Linked DNA regions of Canis lupus familiaris. The protein of the gene in region 2 purifies or fractionates together with the protein of the main gene of each other region. This does not show direct contact. Links are inferred from orthologs where the notes say so. Each region holds a gene or a part of one and is shown on either strand. Other genes may lie near its edges.

Evidence for each region. Proteins that work in one complex are often made in the same cells at the same time.
Region 1: the proteins of GNG8 (region 2) and GNB5 purify together in Homo sapiens (co-immunoprecipitation; 3 studies listed by BioGRID and IntAct, with this or other methods). This does not show direct contact. The link is inferred for Canis lupus familiaris from reciprocal best matches to the Homo sapiens genes GNG8 and GNB5.

The regions. Positions count from the first base shown.
Region 1 is NC_049251.1:18,128,846-18,132,463, reverse strand, and holds part of GNB5 (guanine nucleotide-binding protein subunit beta-5), read left to right. Parts: coding exon 1-34; intron 35-1,001; coding exon 1,002-1,168; intron 1,169-2,485; coding exon 2,486-2,497; 3' UTR 2,498-3,618. UniProt on the Homo sapiens protein: Enhances GTPase-activating protein (GAP) activity of regulator of G protein signaling (RGS) proteins, such as RGS7 and RGS9, hence involved in the termination of the signaling initiated by the G protein coupled receptors (GPCRs) by accelerating the GTP hydrolysis on the G-alpha subunits, thereby promoting their inactivation.
Region 2 is NC_049222.1:109,969,781-109,973,896, forward strand, and holds the start of GNG8 (guanine nucleotide-binding protein G(I)/G(S)/G(O) subunit gamma-8), read left to right. Parts: upstream 1-1,294; 5' UTR 1,295-2,772; intron 2,773-3,089; exon of another isoform or gene 3,090-3,173; intron 3,174-4,116. UniProt on the Homo sapiens protein: Guanine nucleotide-binding proteins (G proteins) are involved as a modulator or transducer in various transmembrane signaling systems.

The sequences.
Region 1 (3,618 bases), on a different chromosome or scaffold from region 2:
TTTGGAGCATCCAGTGTGGACTTCTCCCTCAGTGGTAAGATTTTCTTTTAGAAGCTTCCCTGGGGCTGTAAGACAGGATATAAATGAAACCCAGCTTTCCATCAAGCTTTCCCTCAGCTGAACTTCCTGGGAGCCAATGTGTTAAGCAATCTGCATTTGCACTGGTTTTCTTCCACGAGCCCCCACCCCCACTTCACCGCACCTGAAGCGGCCTCCCCACTCCATTCATTTTACAGGAAATGAAGGCTGTGCCACCTAATGCTGTTCTTCAAGACAACGATGCATGAAACTTCACATCTGCAGAGCCATTCACTAGGCATTTCCTCCTCTGCCTTCCATTCTCCCCTTTTTCCCTGAAAAGGGACTTTTTCCAGCTGTAGGGGGAGTGAAGCAAGAGCCCTTTTCTCGATGCCTTGAAGCTCATGCCACCTGTGCCTCACAGCTGGGGATGCGGCTAGTAAGAGTTAGGGCAGCACAGATAGGAACATTCAGTTTCCCCAGACACAGCTCCCCAGGCTAAATCTGTGCTTTTAGGCATGCATGCTGCTGCTGCCTACAACATCTTTTGCCTCCCTTCTCTGCCTGGCAAACTCCTACTCAGCCCTCAAGAGCGAACTCATGTTACTTCCTGTGTAGTGCCCTCCTTGATTCCCCTTCCTCCATGAGCACATAGCATTGTACACACAGCTAAGCATTTCCAATACAGCCCTTATTACATGGTGCTACCATGTGTCCATTTATTGTCTACTTGCCTGCCCACCACCACCCTCCACAAGGGACAGTAACCGTGCTCTCTTCTCAGAATCCCCAGGGCAAAGCATAATGCCTGGCACATAGCAGGCCCAAAATCACTGTTGATTGAATGAATGAATGAATGAATGAATGAATGAATGAATGAATGAGCGAGCAAGTGACTGCATGATCGCATGAGTGAAAGTCATGAAAAGAAAAACAGAAAGGGAAGAACTGGTTCAATAACCATCATATCCTCCTACTTTGAGGTCGCCTACTATTTGCTGGATACAACGATTATACCATCAATGTCTGGGATGTTCTTAAGGGGTCCCGAGTCTCCATCCTGTTTGGACATGAAAACCGAGTCAGCACTCTGCGAGTTTCCCCTGATGGGACTGCTTTTTGTTCAGGATCATGGGATCATACCCTAAGAGTAAGAGACACATTTTTTTATTTTACTGTGTGTGTGAGAGGAAGAGTGATTGGCCTTCTTAAAGCAGAGGCTCAGCGTAAACATGGGGCATGTCAGCCAGACAGTGCTCTAATTTCAGCTCATGGCCCCAGAACCGATCCATTGCCCCAGAGAGGTAGGGAGTCCCCCCATCAAGGCAGGTGTTCAAACTTGGTTAAATAACTATGTATCAGCATGTAATTGAAGTAATAATTGGGCCAGGTGACTCAAGCAGTTCCCATTGATCCTGAAAGTAGGATTCTTCTGATTCTATCTTGGGCAAACCACAGTGTCAATCTCACCTCTCAGTGGTGCAACCTTCTTATTCCATGGTGACACACCTTTGTGAGACCCACAGAGGGGCTTTAGGGAACTCATGAAGTCCCCAAAATTATAGGTCACATTTAATGTGTCCATTTTTCTGGGAAGAGTTGTCCTCATGGCTTTCATCAGATTCTCAAAGAGCTCTATGACCTTGTTGGATGTTGGCTCCTCATAAATAGCTCCAAAATAGCCTATTCATAAAGCAAAGTTTATTTCTTAAGTTTCTAAGTTTATTTCTTACCTCGGTGGGGACAGAGCACAAACTTGACAGTCTTAGTGGCCTCTCAGAATATAAGAACAAAGACATATGTTTAGGAGGTATGGGGAAGGGGGGGTCTGGTTTAAGGCCAGATGCAGGGATTTAATTAGGATCGGACATTTGTGGAATAATAATTTTAAGATTGCTGGACACATAGTTAGGGGAGGAAGAGGATTTTGAAGACAGTCTTGAAAAGTAACCAGTCATTTGTTGATGCTCTGGGTAGGCCTGAGAAGTGAATGTCTTTTCTAAAAAGGGTAGTTTGAGTAGTCTACTCTTAGGATAAATAAAGGATTTTTGTGAGGTTCCTAAAACATACAACAAAGGTATCTGTGAATTCATCTTCCAGGGCAAGAGTTTCCTAAATCAGTAAAGTCACCTTAATGTACTCAGTGAGGTGTGTGGGTACAGATGGTTTAGGTGCTCAGCCTAGGAGTTACCAGTCCCTGGTAGGAAGGCCACAGATGCCCTGCAGATGATTCAGCAGAGCTAGGGGGAGAGGCAGGTCCAAAGAAGCACCTTTGAGTTGCCAGGAGTAAGGTGTTATGCATCCAAAATATGAGTGCTTTATTTTGGATGGGGCACGTGTGTGTGTGTGTGTGTGTGTGTGTGTGTGTGTGTGTGTGTGTGTAAAACATTGTTTCTGTCTTTAAACTCAAGTTTCACAAGTCGTTAATTACTAAGGGACTAACAATTATCTGTTGGTGGCTTTGCAGGTCTGGGCTTAATCATCTCCTCGAGATGCACACGTAGGCACCTGAGAGTAGAATTTGAAATCGTCATATGTAAATAGTTCTTTCTTCTAGAGAATCTGAGGGTTATTGCAATGTAGATTACAGGAGCAACTCCACGGATGCAAGTTCACTCTGTGTCTCTGATATTCCTATTACGACTTCCACCCCTGGAAACACACCGGTGTGGGCCTTCAGCACTAGAACACCTTCAAGTACAGTGTTTTGCATTTTAAATGCTTTTTAAAATGTATCCATTTTTAAGGTTATTCTAATTATACAGTCTCAATGCATCCTATTACCAGTAGGATTCAGCATATAATACGTCCCCAGGACTTTCTTGAATCAGATTTGTTTTCAGAGCACTTTAGAATCTGATTCTCTCAGCGTGCACTGTGTCTTTTGGAAACTTCCTCTGGAAGTGCTGATCTCAGCGGACTATATGAGGCAGACCATGTTGATTGGTGATCTGTGATAGAAAATTCGTAATTGGACAAAATCCCTTTCTAAAAAAATATTTTTATTGTAAAATTTTCTTTTTCAGTCTCACATCTTTTTTCAGAGCAAACATTTCCTTCTGTGTGAACGGTCATAAATAGAGGAGAGAGATCCATCAAGTGGACAGGATGTTTGATTTATGAATTCCATGAGTGATGCGATGAATCGCTTGGACAGGATCCTTCCTGTCATTTGAGAGAAAAGCGGTTTGTGACACAAATGCTTCCCAGAGAAACCAAAACCTTTCTTGTGTGGGAACATAAGACAGTAAACTTACTTAAAAACCTGTTAGTAGTATTAGATGTATTAGAACTAGTAGTATCCACTCAGGCTACAGTAGATCATATCCATATGAAGCATATTCATATTTATTGCACTGAAAATATAATTACATACACAAATTAGTTGATAGGCCCCGAGTGATAATGTCTCTGTGTGTCTTAGATTGAGAAAAAATAACACAGAAAATACCTGTCTTTATTTGAAATTCAGCATTTCCTTCTGGAAGACACTACCTGTTTTTGTTAGGAGATTCCCTCTTTTCCTTGTTCTTAAGGTGTTGAGGCTTAATCTTTGTTTTAGCAAACCCCTCATTCATAAAGATAGCATGCATTACTTAG
Region 2 (4,116 bases):
GTCAGTTGGGGTGCCAGGGAGGGAGGGAAGTCAAGAATGACCCCAAAGATTTACTCTCAGATGGCTGAGGCTGCAGAAGAGGGTTTGGCGGGTGCAACCGATGGAGCTCAGTGTCAGTGCCGTGTGAGACCCACCAGACCTCCAGTTGGGAATATACAGCAGGCGATTGGGTAGTTGACCCTACTGTTGGCGTTCACTGCACATTTCTTGAATAATTCAAGCCAGAACTGAAGCCGAATCCAGGGTCCCAGTCTCCCCCTCTAAAAAATGGTCACAATAATACCACTGATCCTAGGCTGTCACGAGGCTGGGGCGATTCCTTTGCAGCACAACACCACACTGCACACCTGGAAACTAAAGTCATGCGTGGGGTGGAGAGACGGCTGGGGTCTGCAGCTCGGGCGAGAAATGCAGGTTGTGTACGCTTCAAGCAGCGTCCGTCGGTCCGTCTCCCCCGTCCCCCAGCGTCTGGCTGCCGTCTGGGAGGGGAATAGGAGCCTGGGTCGTCACCCTGTCTTCCCCCACTCTAAGCTGGGTTTCCTCCTTGGGGGCGGCCCGGGCCAAAAAACTGCTGATGGAAACCAGCTGCGGGAGGCGCAGAGGCTCGGCGCAAGCCCAGGCCCCTCCCCGGCGCCGGCAGACCCCGCTAAGGGGGGGGACGAGGGCGCCCCAGCTCCCCTCCCCCCCTTCCGCAGCCGGGCCCGGGGCCCTGGCACGTCCGGCGCGCCTGATGCTTTCCAGATGTGAGCCCGGTTCCCTTCCCCCACCTGGCCCCGTGTCTCCTGCGGGGTTGGCGGCGGGGGAGTCAGGGTCCGATACTCTCAGATGGAATCGCCACCAGGCACCCGGCCCGCTGTCCCCTCCCCGCCCTTCTCGCTTCCCCGTCTAGGCGATAAAAAGCGAATTGGGACCGGCTGACTGCGTGGAGACGCTCCTTGCAGCACCTCCGGCTCTCCCCAACCCCGCCCCTCGGGGCACGCCTCCTCCGGCCCACGCCCCCAATGGTACGCCCCGGACGCGCCCCTTCGGAACCCCGCCCCCGCCCCCGCGGCCCCGCCCCGGCCGCCCCGCCCCCGCCCCGAGGCCCCGCCCCCGGCCGCCCCGGCCCCGCCTCCGCCACCAGCCCCTGTGGGCTGCTCGGTGTGCGAGCCGGACTGTCCGCCTCGGTGTCTCTGGCTGTCTCTGGCTCTCTACGTTCCTGTGTCTCTCCTATACCCGGCACGTCTCTGTCTCTGCAACCCCCTGTCTCTTTCTCACCTAGTCCCTAGGTCTCAATCTCTCCACATTTCTGTCTCTGCGTCTCTCTCTGCCACTCTCTCTGCCTCTCCCCACCTCTCTTTGAATTTCTCAGCTTCAGTCTCTCGCCCTGGCCTCCAGCCCCCTGCGCCCTGCAGCGTCCGGGTCTCCCTCCCGGGGGTGCTTCTCCCGCCCGCCCTAATATCCCTCCGCCTACGGCTCTGGCGCGGCGGGCCGCGAGCGCCCCCGTGTGGTCATCCGGGGGCTGTCGCAAGAAGGCCCGGAGGGTTGAGTGTGGGCGCCCACAGGGGTGTGCGAGGGCAAGGAGAGACACTGAGTGTCCCTGGGTGACACCGGGGAATGGCGTGAGACGCCGAGAGATAGTATGAGCGTGTACTACCTTGGGATTGTGCGTGACGCTAGAGGTTGTTGTGTGGCTGTGTGACCTGGGGAGATTTTGTGACCACCAGACACAGGGTGTGACTGTGAAACCACGTGTTACGCCGAAAGGTTGTGTGCGGCTGTGCCTGTGAGATGGGAAAGATCACATGCAGGTGACTGCGTGGGACCCTGAGAGGCTGGCTCTGCCTGAGACACTATTCGTGGGGCTGGTGGTGACATTGAGACTATGAAGGAACGAGAGATTGTGTGGCACAGTGTGCAACGTGGGGAGACATGAGGGCCTGTGTGTGTCATGCGGGCAAACGTGTGTGACAGAGGGTGAGACAGAATGAGTATGACACACCCAGAAGGGGCGTGGGAAGTCGGTGTGACAGGCCCAAGGGGGAATAGGTGTGACAGAGGGACCGTGTGAGTGTGACAGCATATGTCAACCACACTGGTGAACTGTGAGAAGCCGTGTGACTCTGTGTGACACAGATCATGTGGGATAGTGAGACACACAAGGCGTTGTGACAGCCCTCCAGGGGTTGTGTGACCGTGCAGGGCACAAGCAGATGAGAACATGAGTGAGAGACCTTGTGCCCGTGTAAGTGTGCAATACACGAGACTGCTGGGTGAGGGTGGTGACAGCTGAGGGTAACGGGGACTGTGAGGGGCTCAGCAGGAGCTCGTTTGCATGATGGGGTGTGTGTGGGGGGACACTCTGTGAGGGATGGTGTAAGATTGTGTGTGACACCAGTAGACTGTGCAAAAGTGAGCATGAGTGTGTATGTGGGGATCCCTGGACGTGGGACTGCGTGTCACCGTGTAACACCATGTGCTGTTGAGTGACAGTGCTCAACAAAGATGTCGTGTAATTCCATGTCCCAGTGTGAGACCCTGACACAGTGAATGTGTGTGATGGACACACATTGAGAGACTGTGTGTGACACGGGGCGAACCTCCGTTTGCACCTTTGATACTCTAAGATAGTGTATCTGTGCTTGTGCCAGGTGGCACTGGGGATGACGTGACATCTGACACATTGTGAGACATTGCGTGACATTTTGAGGGGCCGCGTGACTGTGGCACTGTAGGACACTCTGTGGGGAACACCAGGGTGTTGTGAGACAGTGAGGTGGCGGGCACCTGCATGTGAGGGGGGCCGTCTGTGGTGGGGTGACCCCGGGGGGCAGCTGTGACAGGGTGGGAGAGCACGTGTGATGGGGGGGGACAAGCTGCACGGGCCTCACAGGAGGGGTGTGTGTGACCTGGCGTAAGTGTGGGGTGTGGGGCACACCTGTGAGTGAGTGTGCGTGCGTGTTCCGGAGGGACAGAGACAAAGAGAGAAAGGGAGAGACAGAGACACAGAAAGACAAAGGGGAAGGACATCGGGAGGGGGCCAGGGTGCGGGACCGGCGCGGTGGCAGCGGGAGGAGGCGGGCCTCAGGGGCTGCGCCCCGGGGGAGGGGGCGGGGCGGGCCTGGGAGCGGGGGACACCCAGACGCGGTCTCCCAGCCGCCACCTGCCCGCCAGCCCGGCCGGAGCTGCAACAGGTAGGAGGCTCGGGTCTCCCCACCGCGCAGTTAATCCCTCTGCCCCAGATTGCAGCCATGGTCTGTCCGCCTGGGAATGAATGAATGAGTGAGCGAATGAATGACTTTCTACTTCGCGTCTCCATCAGCCAGTCTCTGCCCCCGCCCCTCCACCTCCCTCTCCCTGTCCCCCCAGCCCTCCTCTCCTCTGTCCCCTATCCCCGCGGTGCCTCTCTCTGCCGCTCCGATCGTCCCTCTCTCCTTTCCCACCCCCTCACTCCATCCCTCCCGGACCCCCCACCTCCCCTTCTCTGTCCCCCCACCGTCCCCTCTGTGCCTCCGTCCCCCTGGATCACTCCATCCCTTTCTTTATGCCTCAATTTGTCCTCCCCTCCCTCTACTCCTTCCATTGCTTCATCCATCCATCCTCCCTGCCCGTCTCCCCGGTCCTGGCTGGGTTACCCGCCCCCCACCCCCCAGCCCTCTCTCCGGCTGCTAATGAGCAGAGGAGCCTTTGAGGTGGCCAGGGCTGGGGTGGGGGAGCGCCCCGAGGGGGCCGGAGGGGGCAGCTGCTGCCAAGGCCCTAATGAGGCCCCCTCTGCGCCTTTCCCGCCGCGATCTTAATTCCTTGTTCTCCCCGGAGCCACCGCTAATTGGCCTGGGGAGGCCCCCCTCCTGGCTCCTGCTCGGTCCCCGGGGGGCCCAGGACACCTGGATCCTGATCCAGCACCTGTGGCCTCGTTGGGTCCCTCCCTCCACCTGCGGGGCGGCCTCGCATCCGTGCTTCCCTCCTGCCTCCCCTGGCCCCTCCTGTCCCTCCCTGCACCTGGCCCTGGGTACCCCATCCTAGGCACCCTCCACCCTCCGCTCTTACCCCTCTCCTCCCACACGTCCTGCTTTGGCCTGCCTCTGCCACCCCACCCCCGTCTGTGCGTGTCTCTTCATTCCTCCTCCGCCCCCCCCC